Linked DNA regions of Coturnix japonica. The protein of the gene in region 2 purifies or fractionates together with the protein of the main gene of each other region. This does not show direct contact. Links are inferred from orthologs where the notes say so. Each region holds a gene or a part of one and is shown on either strand. Other genes may lie near its edges. The genes, in order: EPS15 and ITSN1.

What was found.
Region 1: the proteins of ITSN1 (region 2) and EPS15 purify together in Homo sapiens (co-immunoprecipitation; 3 studies listed by BioGRID and IntAct, with this or other methods). This does not show direct contact. The link is inferred for Coturnix japonica from reciprocal best matches to the Homo sapiens genes ITSN1 and EPS15.

The regions. Positions count from the first base shown.
Region 1 is NC_029523.1:21,488,815-21,497,260, forward strand, and holds part of EPS15 (epidermal growth factor receptor substrate 15), read right to left. Parts: intron 4,775-8,446; coding exon 4,613-4,774; intron 3,988-4,612; coding exon 3,790-3,987; intron 3,479-3,789; coding exon 3,281-3,478; intron 2,749-3,280; coding exon 2,671-2,748; intron 2,418-2,670; coding exon 2,327-2,417; intron 1,066-2,326; coding exon 1,030-1,065; intron 148-1,029; coding exon 11-147; intron 1-10. UniProt on the Homo sapiens protein: Involved in cell growth regulation. May be involved in the regulation of mitogenic signals and control of cell proliferation. Involved in the internalization of ligand-inducible receptors of the receptor tyrosine kinase (RTK) type, in particular EGFR.
Region 2 is NC_029516.1:94,961,838-94,970,283, forward strand, and holds the end of ITSN1 (intersectin-1), read left to right. Parts: intron 1-340; coding exon 341-553; intron 554-1,065; coding exon 1,066-1,187; intron 1,188-2,122; coding exon 2,123-2,205; intron 2,206-2,305; coding exon 2,306-2,389; intron 2,390-2,801; coding exon 2,802-2,975; intron 2,976-3,833; coding exon 3,834-3,982; 3' UTR 3,983-6,073; downstream 6,074-8,446. UniProt on the Homo sapiens protein: Adapter protein that provides a link between the endocytic membrane traffic and the actin assembly machinery. Acts as a guanine nucleotide exchange factor (GEF) for CDC42, and thereby stimulates actin nucleation mediated by WASL and the ARP2/3 complex.

The DNA.
Region 1 (8,446 bases), on a different chromosome or scaffold from region 2:
ATCAGCTTACTGTGGTATTATTACTGTTGCTTGCTGCACTAAATGGATCAGTGCCTGCAGTCACAAAAGGATCAGTGGAGGACTGTTTGAAAAAACAGTCAGCTGCAAAAGGATCTGAGCCTTTGAAGGGATCACCACCAAAGGGATCTAAAAAAAGGAAACATCTCATTAACAATTCTACTTGCTTTATTTAACTTTGCATCTTAAAAATGAAATGTTACATTGCTTCTTTCATTCTGTGAGAAAGTGACACATTTAAAGACAGATTTGATGCTTCAAAAATCCTTGATCTGTGAATAATCTGAATTCTATGGTTCAAACATCAGACAAACTGACATTTTCTGCACACAACAAAAACTATACTGTGCCAATAGTGGAGCAGAACCATGTAAATATATAGCTTCTCTAACTCAGCTCCCTTACAAAGAAACATTTTTATATAAACTAATCATTTTCAGAACTTTCATATTTTCTTCTCCTTCACTCCCTCAACATAACTGATGTTTCCTTATTTGACACAGGGTGCACCATGCTGTTTTGCCGTAGCCTTCCCACTCCCCATTTCCTTTTTGCCACTGGTAAAACTGAGCAAGTAATGCAACAACATTGCTTAAAGAAACAGTCTCAACAGATCTTCCCATCTTCTTCAATATTTGTGCTACAGAAAGTTGCTGAATTAAGAGTCTTTAAGAGAACAGTCCTATTCCTCTGCAAACAAAACATTCTTTGAATTTGAGGCCTTCCATTTACCACCTCCATATATTTAAATCCTCACTAAGAATACTTTCAAAAGCAAGAGAGAAGTTCCTAGGGAACAGGCTTCTCTGAAAAGGTTTAACACAAGTGGGCAGCTGCTACTGCTATATATCCATCCTACAGTGACTTTTCAAATCACTACCACCTTTTTCACACTGTAAGCGGTGACACTTTTCCTCCAAAGTACTGTTCTACTAGGAATCATTTACAAAAAAGAAAAAAAAAAAGAAAAAGAACAAGAAAAGAAGCATTAGAAGTTACAAAGTTGCTCACCAATTTTCCCAAAAGGGTCATCTTTGAAGGGATCACCTGTTGAAAGGAAAAAGTGACTTGTGGATTTTAAAGCATAAAGCTTGTGTACTGAGTTGAAGTCTTTTCCACAGAAACAAGTTTCTAGAGCTAGAATTGCCCTCACTCAGAGGAACTGTTTTATTATTTTTAGTGGAACAAGAGCTGATAACAAAGCAAATATTCATCACATAATTTATTAGCAGCACGAAGCGCACAATAACAGTCATCTGAAAAAGGCATCTCTGTTGGCTGTTCTCAGTGAAGACCCACATTGTGCAGTATTTACACCACAGTAACACAGGCTAACTACTGATGGAAACTTAGTGCCACTTTTGTTAATTCTCAGAGACACTGTGGATAGTAGCCGTCAAGTGTTCATTTCTATACTGGATGCAAGTATATATATATGCATCAGTATATTCCCTCAGTTCACATATATAAGGTCTTACAGCTCTAGATATCTACCTCTAAACAAACTGAGCACACAAAATCCAGAAGACTGATTAACTGACATATCTTTCTCCTCTGAAAGGAAGGCTGTTATGTCCCATAAGCAGGACTACTTCAATATGAACAAAAAAAAAAAAAACCACAATAAAATCTTTGAAGTTTTAGAACAACTTTTTAATTGAAAAAGGTGAACTAGAGCCTAAATCTTCATTGGCAATCTTTTAGAAGCCAAGTGATGCAAAATAAATTTAGCTTATTTAGCTGCATACATCTGCTTCAACAGTTAATCCAAATTAACTCTTCCCATATTCCAAGTGTCTCTATGCAGACAGATCACTCCTTCCAATGTTATAAGAAAAAAAACTGGAGCAACAGAATTCTTGAGCGGCAAGTTCTTAAAATAAAGCATAGCACTTCCACAGATGAACAGATGGTACAGTTCCACATTATCTTTTTTTGAGTGCCTAACTTGCCATAAGTAGGCCACAGCCATTCACTCTCAGCCACCCACACTCTCCCCACACCACAGTTCACTGAACCCTCAGATGACCTGTTTGTGACTCTGTGCTGCAAATTAGATCACTGACACCACATGTATCACAAGTATGCCCACACCTTTAATACCAAAATGAGACCTCCAGAGGGGAAAAAAATAAAAGAGGCACTCAGAGAAAAAAAACCACACAGGTAAAGCAAAGAGATACACCGTAGAACTCTCATTTATATTTCTGTACTGCTGTTGGCTCTTGTCACTCAAGTACTTTCACATTTATTTCATAAAGACTAGAAGTTTAATCTGTCACATTTTTGGAGAGAAGAGTGTACTTACTGCCAACAAAAGGGTCGGACTGGAAGAACTCTAAGCTTGCTTCAGAAACTATATCAGGCAATGGGTGAGATTCAGCATCAAATGGATCCTCCTGAAGAACCCAAAAGAAGCAAAGAAAGGTGTGAAGTCTGAGACATTTATCTCATTCTCTTATCATTTATTAACTTCTTAAAGCTGAAATGAGTTTGAATTCATCAAGACTCAACAGAGAGCCACAGCATTCCCCAGTAAAAATCAACCTGCTATATAAGATGAATGCATTTGTGGCATCATGCCCTAGTTATTTTGTGGGTTTTTTTGTTTTTACATTCATTTCTTCCTCCCTTAAATTTGAACAAACTCACTTTTCTTGTAACAGTTCCAGCTGGAGTCTCTTTGTCTTCTTCTGCAGCAGCAGTTGTTGTTTCAGGACTATTTCTTGGCTACGTAAGGATAAAAGCAATTCAATGTAAGTAAACAGAACACTACACTGCTTACTCCATTTTATAGAGCACTACACTGCTTACTCCATTTTAAGTACCAAACTGTTGTAAGGATATACTAAAGGATACCTCAAGAGGTTCATACTTAGAAAACACTGAAGTGTTTGATAAATTGAGACAAAGAAAATAGACATTTAAATAGCAAGACAGCATTCAGATTTCTGTACTATTCTTCATTCTATTTCTGCTGCACCAATTGGAAACAGCTGCTCATATTTAACATTAATTTTGCTCTTCAATTTATGACATTTAGCTTTGGAAACAAATGCACAAAAAGAATTCTGTTGCCTCTTTTTCTGTTTCTTTCTTATCAACTTCCAGATCTCTGGAATACTCCCTCAGAATAACATCCTGAAAGCTCACTTTGCAAATGCTTAAAAACAAAATACAATCAATCTTAATACATTCTTAATTTATTCCAACTTCACAGCTGCATTGCATCACAATTACACAGGCAAAACACTTTACTCACTGGGGATACGTTGTTTATTTGTTCATCTTCAGCTATGCTTTCCCTTTCAGCATTCTCATTAAGGTTAGCAGTTTCGCTGCTGCTGTTGCTGAGACTAGAATGATCCGCAGTTCCATTAACAAGTACATTCTGTGGCTGAGAGTGCCAACTAAATTGGTTACTTTCCAGTTCTTTCAGCTCAAGAAGTTTTGTCTGCACCTGTAAATGGAAATAATGCATGTGTATCAGCGCAGTAGTACATGGAAACTAGAATACAACTTAACCTTCTTAAATGTGAGATGGAAGGTATATAGCTGTAATTCTCATGCAAAATCAAGTACAATATAACTATAGAATTTCATAGAGAACTACAAAACTAATCTAGAAGAGATATGGTAGACCTGAGAATCTGCTGTGCCAAGGAAGCTGGCCATACTGCTGGTGATCACTGGCATTTTTTTCCTGTTTTTTGTATTTTAAATTATTATTTTTCCTTTTTTTTTTCCCCCTCCCTTTTCACAGTGCCTTACCGAATTGATTTCCTGTTGTGAATCTTGCAGATGTTGCTGAAGAGGTCCCAGCTGTGCTTTCCCAGACTCTATGCAATGCTCAAGCTCTGCAGTTTCTTGCTGCAGACGACTCAGCTCCTCTTGAGCTTTGGTCAGTTCATCTTCATATGCTGATATCTTTGTCTCCTGGCTTGTTATTTCAGCTTTCAGCATGGCAATCTAAAGCATAAACAAGGATTCCAAAGCCAAATTAGGAAAACAACAACAACAACAACCAACATCACCACACCAAAAATATCCCACACCTCCAAATATATCCAGCAAAGGCTAGGATTTATGACCAGATTTATGACCAGCTATAGCAGAGATTTCAGACCATACTCTACCAGAAGATTAATTTGCTATTTGTCCCAATGAGATTAAGCTGTTTTCCTGACCAATACAAATATTACTAATAGTAAAGATATATATATATATATAAAAACCACAACAAAACCAACTCTGAAATTTTATGTTAGAATTTTTTTTTTTTTAAATCCCAAGAAATCAGTCCTGGTAATTAGTGTTTCTAGTTACATATACATTGTGTTACACATTTATGTCATTTGTTTGTACACAACCTTACATGTGTGCAAACATATCTTATTGCAGTTGTTGGCGCACTGAGACATAAAGAAGTCAGTGAAATAACTGATGTCTCTGCTGGTCACAAAATCCTGAAACTCAGCCTGTTTAATCTTGAAAGATTTTTCTCCTTTCCCAACCACCACAACACACTGCAAGCATGCAATATTCAAAATGCAGCAGTTCTCCTTAAGGGCTGAAGCCACTAACTAGACCTTACCAAGTGGGCCTCCTCTGCACATTTCTGCCTGATATCATTGAGTTGCTCTTCCAACTTGGCCTTCTGCTCATCAAGATCATTGAGTATTTCCTGTGCTTCCTGTTTCTGAGCTTGCAGCTTTTGCAGATTACTGCTCTCCCGTTTTACTTCATCTTGTAGATCCTGTGATAGAACAGATTAGCTTTGCCTTTGTTCACTGCTCCTCCTCTGATCATTAACTTTCATAGTATAAATTGTGGTGATGATCAGTCAGATTTCAGAGTATCAACGTGTTACCTTTCAAAGGCTAATATTTCACGTGCATCACACAAGCTTTAATTCTAAGAGAAAAATAGTTATTTGCTTTTTCTTTCATTAAAAAAAAAAAAAAACCACAAAAACAACCCAATACATTAAAATTTCATTGAAACACTGAAGATCATACCACTAATCAGAGATTACAACTACATAATCAGTGGGAGGCAAGCTTCATTTCTGAATCCAGAAGTCATCCTTTGTTTAGGCTGCTACATTCTCTCTTCTATATTTTAGCAATAAGTTTTATTGAGCTCCTCAGTAACTGAATTCTTTATTATGTTCCTTTCCCCTCAGAAACACACACCAACAATACAAACTCATTTTAGTAGCAAGGTGAAGAAAAAAATCAGTGCCTTATTAATCCAAATGATTTCCCCTGCCTCCAATTTTTGCTGAAATCACCCCAACTCTTTTTTGTTTCCAAGTAACAGTCCTGGTAAGAAATGTATGTTCCATATATGAAAACATGGCATGTTTTGTTCTAGGGAACAGCTGTGAATAAAATATAAGATACAGAAAGTAGCATCATATGGTAATTAGTTCATTAGTTCATTTCTGAGCAACAATAATGGTTGTACTTCAAACTGCAGAGATAACACTGGGAAAAAAAACAACATCCAAGACAAGAATCTAGCAAAAACTGTCAAAGTCAAGAAGAAGTAATACAGAGGGATCAAAAAAGGATTATTACAGAAGCATTTGATGAGAGAAGACTGCAGTCTTTCTAAAAAAAAAAAAAAAAAAAAAAAAAAGAAAGCAATTGAATGAAGAATCATATTCAAAAATAAATAAAGAAAGAGAGATTAAAGAAAATTTAGGACAGTCAGAAAAAAAGCTGACATTAAATTCTGATAAGATCATGTATTTCTGTACTGTTCTAAGGCAAGAGTCTGTTGTCATTTTTAGGTGATTTCTTTAAATTACTATCTTTTTTTAAACAAGGGGAGACGGTAAATCCATATCTGTTAACACCTCCAGTTAATCAGGACAAAAAGAGATGGAAACAAATGTATATGGCGCAGCAGTCAGATGCTCAGCAAAATGGGGAACCTCAGGACAATCAGAAGACCACCTAATAAAAAACCCAATTATTTTATTCAAAGAAAAAATCAAAATCCATTCAACTACTTCAGGATTAAGAGCTTAAATTTTATGCCTAACCTACAGCAGCCAGACTAGATGAATTGTTGATTGCTTCTGATTTATGGAAAATAAATCAGTATATGCAAAAAGCTCTGACAGCATCAAGTGACTTGGACAACTGGGAAAGCATCCTGATCCATTCTGTTTTTTCATGACTTTGAATACAAATACCATCTGACTCTCAACATAACAACCAGGCTGAGGGATGGAAATAACAGCTCCTTTCAGTCACACACAGAAACAAGCTAAATATAAATGACTTCCAGTCTTGCTACTGTTTCTGTTGACTCCCAATGTCTGCACTAGCCACAGCCATAGAGAAGCACTGAGGAGACCTGACTATACCTGATATCTCCAAAATAGATTTCCTTACCTCCATAGATACAAACATAAATTGTGCTTTTTTTTTTTTTTTTTTTTTCCAGGAGTTCCACAGGTTTGTTCAAAAAAAACCTTCAATATTCCACTTAAAACTGGAAACAGACCTATTGACTTCATGTCAGTAGAACTCTAGGGAATTTTATTCTAGGTATTCTTTCCCAATCATAGTTGGGAAAGCCAGAACAATCACCATTTATTTCAGAGTCTCTGCAGACACACTAAGAATCCATACACATACACATGTAAAGTGCGTGATGGAGGATTTGAGCCTTGGGAATGTGGAAATAACCCCATAACTTGAGGCACTGCCTACTGGCTGAGGCACTCTGTGCTCCAACCAGCACTTGGGTCTTGATGAGCAGCTTGGTGACAGCACAAGGGGATGCTTTGAAATGATACTTGTGTGGTCAAAAATTAGTGTTTTAGTGATACATCAACTCTGTAAAACTGAATTATCTTCTGACAAGAACATCTTGTATCTGAGTTTCTTATCTCTGTTATTTATAAGAAAATGAAAACTCCATCACAGAATAAATTAAAAAATGCCTCAGTTTCTCAATCTTTGCTATTCTACTCATTATCTCTTATGAAAAAAACAGCCTTTAATCAGTGCTGATAACACTTTAATAAGCATTAGAAAATATCAGTTTGTTATGTTTTCCCTACAACTCTTTTTCCATCTCTTCCCCTTAGACTCTATTTGTACAGCACATACATTATTTCACAGGGGAAAACAATTTTCTATCTCTTCCCCCATGTAGAACTGTTCACAAGCCTTTGTGAGATTATAATTTATGTCAGTGGATATAATCCTGGTATCATGAACCCCTCCATGTGATGCCACCACATTAGCTTGGTCAAAAGTGGCAGGTTACAACACAGTTTGTGCAAACCATCTTTAGAAATATTACCATAAGAACATCAGAAAAAAACAATAACCAAACAACAGGATGTAAAGATATTCTTTATCTGCCACTGCTATTCTGTGAAGTTCTAGAAAGTTTCATGTAACATGTGGGTCCTCCAACATTAAGGAACAAGGAGACCAGAGACAGAGAGCCATGAGCTCAAACGAATGCTGGAGTCATACCCCATCTGATCCTGATGGGTTCCCATTTTTCTGACATGTCAGCAATAGACTGCTTCACAGACAGAGAACTCATTATATTTAGCAGGATACAAATAGCTTATGTGATCACTAAGAGGTTAAAGATCTAAGACAGTTGTTTTGAACACAACTGCTCCGGATACAATGATTTCATTGATTCTGTGATGCTGCTGACTATCAAAGAATACAAAATAGACATAAGAACTCACTAACACTGTAACATTTTATGCCTCACAATGCTAGTGGCAGGTGTTTTATTTACCTTTAGACACCTCATGTACAAAGGCAGCAGAAACTCAATCTTATATGAACACACGAGTTTCAGAACAAACTAACAAAATCACCATGTGTGCCCAAATAACAAAATTTATCAGCATTTTTAAGTGTGAAAAGGTCCTTCATGGTGAAGGGGAGAATGACGACTGCATGCACAGACAGAACTGCAGGAATGGTCAATCTGGCTGCCATTGTGACCAACAGGCCAGCATCTGATTATCTTCAGAAAGGTCAGACTATTAATTATCATCTAGGCTTTAAGGATATTAAATAGCTGAGCACAAGAGTCACAATGGTTGTAACGCTGGCTTTTCTTTATGAACCTTCCAACCCCCAAAACAGTAAAATGCAGAGATTTATACCATTTACTCTTAATCAAATAGAGGGAATTTGAACTAATGAAGATTCCTGAAATAAATTCAGAAACAAACGTAAATGATCAGATATAACACTGAAGCTTTTTTTCCTTAATGTTGCAATCCCAGCTGCTTCTGCACCTTACAATTTAACTTAAATATGCTCTGCAGTATTTAATTCAGGGCTTAAATTGTTAACACCCTAAACACTGATGCTGACTATGTAATTTTTAATTCATAAAGCATTTGCAAAATTCAAATATTTTATTCAAA
Region 2 (8,446 bases):
TGTGTAACTACTGCTCATCCAGGACAAGTCATCATCAACTCAGCTTGGCTCACTGAGGTGCACGTGCGTGGCAGAGAAACTCAAAAGGAGGCAAAAATGCTTTTGGCTTTTCTCTAATCCAGGACATGCCTTGTGCAACTGATGGGATGCCTTAAATTTCATATAACATTTTTATGACTTGCACTGCTTGTCATGCGCAAGGCAGAGACATTGCTCATCATCCCCGTGACACAAATCAAAACTAATGTCAGGACTCAAAACTGTATTTGATCTCTTTCAGGGGAACCTCGATTGTTTTACTTTATACAGTGCGTTGTTCTTCTTCTTCTACTTTTCGCAGCAACTCGTATTTAATTCTGTTACAAACTGCTTGGGACCACGCAAGTTTCTGCACAGTGGGAAGCTCTATAAAGCCAAGAGTAACAAGGAACTGTATGGCTTTCTGTTCAACGATTTCCTCCTCTTGACTCAGATCATAAAACCTCTTGGCTCTTCTGGCACAGACAAAGTCTTCAGCCCCAAGTCTAATCTGCAATACAAAATGTACAAAACTGTAAGTACCATTCTTAAATGGTGGCTTGGATAGTTACAAACTAACAAAAGTTCTGGAGGCAGCACCCACATACTGTACGTGTGGGTCTTTATATAGAAGAATGTTGAAAGCTTTGGCATATGCTGGGGATTCCAGGGACCAATGCTGAGCAAGCTGGTTGTCTGCTAGGTAAGGGAAGATGCCTTTGAAATGTGGCCAAAACGATTTCTTTGACAGAGTTTGCATAACAAGGGATGATGCAGAGAGCAGTATTTGCTGCTCCCTGTGAGAAGGGAGAGATTTCTATACCTCATAACGCTTTTCAATTGCTTTAGGAGAAATGTTTCCAGAGTGTGGATGCACCTTAATAAGAAGAAAATACTTAAAAATGACGTTTTAAGACAGATGGGAGGCCAGCTGAAGGGGAGAAACTGTTGTGGGCACAAATGAAATCTGTTCTGAATTGCTGTATCTTGCATGCCTATGTTTGGATAGTGTGCAATGGAATACTAGCTTTGCTTAATGTTTTCCAGCCCATTTTTCTAAATGAAGTACTAGTAAAATTACCCACAGACCCTTCTGGAGATGAGCCCATTTTCCATATCTCCCACATTGATAGAGTCTATACACTCCGGGCTGAAAGCATTAATGAAAGGTAAGTACCCGCACAGGCCACGTTAGTACTAATTTTTAAAGGCCTGATTAAAATGTGTTTGATGTACATATGCATAGCAGTGTCCAAGCAGTTAATATTACATCTCCTTGTGCTTGAGAATAAAGTGATAATCAGTACATGAAAAGAATGGAGAAATAATGATACTTCCTGAATTCCAGTAATACCAGTGGTGAGATCACTAGGATGGCTGATGATTCCATTTTGTGGTAGTGTAAAGAAGCTACAAGATTCAGTCCTATCTTACTCTTTTAATGTCCATCAGTTTTCTGTGCCAATGCAAGCATCTGCATGGCTGTATTTTGAATGAGATTCAGGAATGACTCAGATTAAAACATGAAGCAAAAACCTGCTGAGCAAAACTCAGTTTTAACCTGATTCTGTTTATAATGAGTAAATGAGAAAAGTGACAACTTCAGCTAGTGACTTGTGTCTCTGGAAAGGTTACAAAGACAGGATTGCACTGAGTTATGTTGAAAATATTGGTCTGCAGACTTCTAAGTTGTTGAAAAATAACTTTTGTTAAAAATCAGAAGCTGAAAAAACAGCAAAAAATCCCAAACAAACCAACCCCAAACACATTGTATAGATAGTATTATGCCAGCTTGAGAATGTGTTACCTGGAAAAATCCCAATGCATAAAACATCTTTGCTCCCTGCCTGTTCATAGTTCTTTTGAGCTTCTGTTATGTGATGGGATCTGCTAGGCTGTACTGATTACATTTCTACGGGTGCTATGAATTCCAGCAAGATCTCTTCCAAGCAGACAGCTTCAGCGTAGCAGAGCCTGAGGCAGGGTGGGGGCCTTAGGCTGCAAGGGGTTGGGAAGGAGGGCCAGCTTTACTGTTGCCTGCAGTACAGTAGGGAGTAAGAACAGAAATGGTATTTTGCAACCTTTTTCTCCTTTCCTTCTGAAGGACTGCGTGGGTTCAGAAAATTAAAGCTGCTTCGGAACTTTACATAGAGACTGAAAAGAAGAAGAGGGAAAAGGCCTACTTAGGTATGTCATGGGGTACTGGGGTTCTCATCGTTCATGGGGAAGTCCCTGGGCTGGAAAAGACATTAAGGACTTCTGTCTCTCCTCTTCTGTTTCACCACAGTTCGCTCACAAAGAGCAACAGGCATTGGGAGGTTGATGGTGAATATTGTTGAAGGCATTGAACTAAAACCTTGCAGATCCCATGGTAAGTGCCTTCTGATTTTCATAAGTGTGCTCTATGAAGGAGACATTCCTATGTGACTAACTTAGACATTCTGTCAACATATTTTTGTTTAAAAAAGCTGTTTTAATGAATTTAAAATGCACAAAGGTGATTCTGTGCTGTTCAGTAGCAGTCATGCAGTTGTCTTGCGCTTTATCATTTGGCTCATACAAACAGCTTTACTACATAAACTATTTCAAAAGAGATCATCAGCCACAAAATCCTTAATGAAGAGTGGCAAGTGCTTGGCACCTTGCAGAACTGTGCCCCTGGTTATTAAAATGACAGCAAGGCCACTGTCTTCACCTGGTCTGTTGGCTGCAAGAAGAAGATGGTATTCAGACACGCACTTGAAAACATGATTACATTTTTCTGTTTGTTTCCTACTTCCCAGGAAAGAGTAATCCATACTGTGAGGTGACGATGGGCTCTCAGTGCCACATCACCAAGACAATGCAGGACACCCTCAATCCGAAGTGGAACTCCAACTGCCAGTTCTTTATCAAAGACCTTGAGCAGGACGTGCTCTGCATCACGGTGTTTGAGAGGGACCAGTTCTCCCCAGATGGTAAGCAGGGGGCAGCCACCTTTCCAAGGGTGTTTTCAGGCCTCCCATTTTGAAGAGGTGCACTCCCACTGAGGTAAATACTGAACCCCTGTGCGTGTTTGACACACTCTCACTCCCCAGTGTAGTCATGCTTGTGTTGGAGCTAAAAGAATTGCACTCTCTCTGGGTTTTTGGGCTTCCTTTCTTGTGCAGTTTGACAGTAAGTGAAGTGCAGTTTGTAATTCTGCCAAGTCTTTACATGTAACTCTGGATGCTTTTTGCAAATGGACAAATTAATGGAGGAGGAAAAGAAAAGTTGTCAGGTTCCTGTAACAGGCAGTAGTAGAAATGAACTCAGAATTCCCAACCCACTTTAATTTCATAACTTGCAGTAGACATACGGAGAACTGAGGAATGTCTTTTGGAGTAACTTTCCCTCAGGAAGGATTTGGGCAGGACTGTCATTCATGTGGCCAGCACCATTTGCCCCAATGACCTTGTCGCTGTTGTAATCTATCCCTTGCTCTGTCATCTCCTGAGAGCTACTCGTTCAGTTCAAGCTGGGCAGTGGCCTTTGGCCTTTTTTCTAACATATCATAGAATAAATAAGTTACTTAAGCAAAGCAGCTGTGAAGTACATGGTGCATTTTTTCTGCCTTTGGCATCATTTTTGAATGCTGCCACTGGTCCAGATGAAAATCTCTTCTGTGCAGACAGGCAGCGTTTGTCCTTCAAATGCAAAAATGTGATTGGACTGAGGGCTTGTTTTCTCCTTTTGTCGTGTGTAGATGGAAGCTTAGCTCCTTCTACAATTTAGCGTTTTATTGCAGCAGAAAAGAGTTGTTTCATTTCTAAGCATGCCGTCTTTTTGCATTTCAGACTTTCTGGGCAGAACAGAGATCCGTGTGGCAGACATTAAGAAGGATCAGGGTTCAAAGGGACCAGTTACAAAGTGTCTCCTTCTCCACGAAGTCCCAACAGGAGAGATAGTCGTCCGACTAGACCTGCAATTGTTTGATGAGCCTTAGAAGGAAAGGGACCAATGTTTTTTTTTTTGTTTTGGTCTGAGTTCACTGCAATGTAGGTATCTGCAGAAGCTGTCACAAAACCCTGATCGGTTTGGTATGAAACTACTGCTTGCCCTTCACACACAAGAGGGTTATCAAAGCAAACAGGAGCATCTTTGTGCCTTGATAATTCTCACTGAAAAACGAGTCCCAGTTTAGTGAGGAAGTCTCCCTCAGTTTCTCCATGTGGAACCTGATGATGGTTTCCTGGGTTTATGAAGTAACCTGGTTGTTTGTTGTGCTGCTGGCACACCGCACAGGTCCCCGTGCTTGCTCCAGTTACTCTACTCGTTAATTGACATGAAGAAGGCAGTGTTGGTATGTTTGGTGGCTGTCTGCAGGGTTTTCCCCCATAAGGAATTCTGTGCCTATTGCTCAGCAAAGTGGCGTGTAAATGTTTTGTGAATGGAACAAACAGTTATGCAGTAAGAAGATCTCTGGAGATCTTCATGGCGATACTGAAAATATTTAGAAAAGAAATAGTCTATATCTATAAACAGAGAAGATTCTATTAACATACCACTTCATGACTCACATTGCCCCCAAAATAAATTCCGTGCAGGCCTTGTGCGCAGAGATGAGTTGCACTCCAGAAGAATCCACCCACTCAGTACCTTTGGAAGAAGACTTTGAACAGTGAGTGAAGGACGGAACGATAGAGCCCTGCTGAATGTTGTGCTGTACCACTTCAATACTGTTTTACTACTGCCGCTCAGTTGTGTGAGTGCAGGTGGATGTTCCGTCACCTGCAGTGAGGAAGGAAAAAAAATGATGGCTCTAGCTCAGGAAGCTCATTTCTGCCCCATAGACTAGTTTGCAAAGCAATCGGTGGTGACCAGTTATTAAACTGGACTGTTCCTGACTGCGTTCGACATCATGTTGCTGAATTCAGGGCTGTAGCGCTGTCACTCACAGCAGTGTTTGTTGCAAACTGGGCTGGTCACAAAGTTGGTGGCAAAGATGGTAGACGTGAGCAGAACGGAGTGTTTGTGATCGTGTGATGGAGTGGGTAAACCCAGGGTGATGTCATTTCATCTTGGGGAACGCAAAAGGTTTTATGTGTGTTTAACTCAACACATAGCACACATACAGGCCAATGTCCAGCAAACTTCCCACGTTCGGCAAAGCGTCTGTCTCTAAGTGCACACATAGGTAGTGTTTCCCTTACGTACACAACTAAGTGCTTTGCTAGGACTGGATGTGACAGAGCCCTAAGAGTAAAATTCATCTTTGTTCTGCCTGGAATCATTTTGTTCATTACCTATCATGCATACACTGGTATTTTTGTAATGACTTTATTCTGAATGGGAGGTGTCAGCCTGTTCCATTAGCATGTGAATGTTCTCGTGGAGCCTGTTGTTAGGTTTTGATGTTCCTTGCATGTCCTTTCAGTACCGGTTTCCACCTTCCCTGTATAGATGGTGTTCTCTAGCACTACAATTCTTATTGATTTCCATTAGGAAATTAGGATATATTCATAACGAATAGGTAGATACAGTATGGTAGTAAGTGTAAACTGTGCTGGGAAGTGTCTGTGTATTATAATTTCCTACGAGACCACTGTAATGTTTCAAGCAATGGGAAAAAAAAAAAAAGTATGTTGGAGGGACGACAAAGTTTACATTTCATACTTTTCAGAATCGCTTTATTATTTATTTATTGAAGATGATAGTGTAGAATTTTGTATCAGAAATGACAGACATACTTATGTATTTTTTGAAACAGAAAAAACAGAGAATACACGCTTCAGTTACAAACTTTTGACTGATCACATTTGAGAGGGAGTGCAACTTCCTGGGCACGCATTTGGTTACCACTAACTGGCAGAAAACACAATCAAGAGAACTTTAAGTTTCTATTTTTCAATGTTGTTAAGAAAATCGTTTCGATTAAAATATGTAAATAGTACTAAACCCATGTTTTCCTAATTCCATATCAATACATTTTATTAAATATAACGTATATGAAGATACACATTGTTGTGGTAGGATTAAAAACAAAGTGATAAAATCTATTAATGGGTAACATTAAATGTCATTGTCTAACCTTTTATTGCTGTCCTAATTTTACTCAGTAGCTGGACATACAGTGAACATTCCTCTCAGTGTTGAGAAAGTCGGATCATGTTTATCGTATCATTTTCCATAGCATGAATTTCAGCAACAAATAAGTAGACTAATAGGAACAAAATACCATGGATGTTGTGCAGAGATCCAGTCCAGGTTTCCAGAAGAAGCCACAAGTTGCAGCATTTTCCTCTGCTATTCAATTGCTGTTGGAAGTGATTGTCAGGTAGATGTGGGGGCTCCTCTTGGACTGTGACCCCATCATGGGTACATCAGATTGGATTTTTTTCATGCGGTAACATGAATGAGCACCTTCCCAACCACCATTGCTTGTTGTTTCTAATTTGTCCTCAGTGCACAGAAATGTTTAGTTCCCGTATCATGCATGTGTGATGATAATGAAGGGGTAGGATTCAGCTCATGGATTTCTAAGTTGCAATCTGTTCTTGTAATTTCCCTTGTCCATCCAGGACTTCATGTGTTATGGAGTTGTGGGACTGGCTGGGTCTCTTCTTCCAGGTAACAGTGATGCAACAAGAGGGAATGGCCTGAAGTTGCACCAGGGGAGGTTCAGGTTGGTTATTTGGAACAATTTCTTCTCAGTAAGAGCAGTGCTGCAGTGGCACAGGCTGCCCAGGGGGGTGGTGCAGTCACCATCCCTGGAGGTGTTCAAGAGCCGTGTGGATGTGGCACTGAGGGACGTGGGCAGTGGGCATGGTGGGGGTGGGCTGATGGTTGGACTGGGTGATCTGAGAGGTCTTTTCCAACCTTAAATGATATTATGGTTCTAAGCCCAGGGCATGTTCAGCTCTCCTCTGTTAGGGCTGCACTACACACATTCCCAGCAGGGCCTCACTGTGAGCTCCACCTTCCAACCCTGTCATCCCACAGGCTATGATCCATTGCAGTTAATTACCTTTGTGTCCCAGCTAGAACATAGGCATACTAGAAGCTGACTGGATGCTCATGTGCTATGCAGGAGATGCAGGGATGAGTTCAAAGAGCCTGCCTTACAAAGTCAATTCACATTCTATAAGGACCGATAGATCGCAGTGCCTGAAGAGAGCATCAAACAAGTCAAGGTTAAGATAAATGAGTTTATGTTCTTTGCAGATCTATTTTCTTCCCTGTCTTTCTGAAAGTGCGTGGTCATTGGGTTATAGCCACCGGACTCTCCAGAATGGTATTTACCAGGGTAATAGTAAGTCATATACCTGCAAGTTATAATGATTTGGAAGCACTGTAAAATAAAAACCATGAAGCTGGTCTTGGCTTTGGAAATACTATTTCCCCAAGATCAGTGCTGTAGGGAGGCGGTCTGTAAGGCCCTGAGAGGCTGTGTGCAGTTGGTGGTCTGACATGGGCACCTTAAGGAACGGAGCACATCGCTGGGCTGACCCTAAGGAATGTGACCCATACATTACAGAGCTTTTTCTAGATGCACTTAATTATTATATATCTTCTCAACATGAGTTTTTATGAAGGAATTTTTTAAATGCTCATTCTAGAATATTTTTACCCTTTAGAAAACAAAAAACCAACACTTTTTGTTACGTGTGAGTTTGGGTTTGGGGGGAAGAACATTGTGGATAGCAACGTTTTTGTAATATTATTAAATACATTTTCCAGATGAAGATGTGATGAGTCCAGACCTTCACCGCAACAGCGGGGTCTGCTTTCGTACTGCTCCGTTTGCACTGTGGTGTCTCACTGCTCCAGCTGAGCAGTCACAACCCTTTTAAATGCAGAACAGTGGGGAATCAGGTGAACTCACCTTCACTTTGAGCCGTTTGCTCTGTATGTACATTCCACGCGTACCCCGCGTTTGTTCAGACCAAACACTCCTGTCCTATGACCATATCGATGTATCTGTAGATATATATACGTATATATACATGTGATTATTTGTATATATAAGGATATAGCTACTTTGTTGTTGTCAAATACGGAGTCAATCTAAAACAAAAACGGTTTTGTTTGTTCTCTTACATATTTTAAAATAAAAAGGCCATTCTTGGGAAATTATTTTTTTGTGCATAGGCAGATATATTTAAGGCCGAACTTAAATGAATAAAGAACATGCTAAAGTAGCCTAGCTGCATGCCATAGATGTCAGAAAAAGGTTCTGCTGCCACTGTAGGTGAATCCTTGAGCTTCTTGTAGAGCTGCAAAGTGTTGCTAAGCCCAGATTTAGCGTTGGATCTGTGATCCCAGCCTGCTGTGTGAGTCAAGGCGTTGTTGCTTCCTCAGAGCCCTTCTGTCAGGCTCTCAGGCTTTCCTGCCTATTGTGGTGTGCACAGCTGACACGGGAAGGCTGGGCTGCAGGAAAATAGGGGAAAAACAGCGGCAGAGTGGAAAC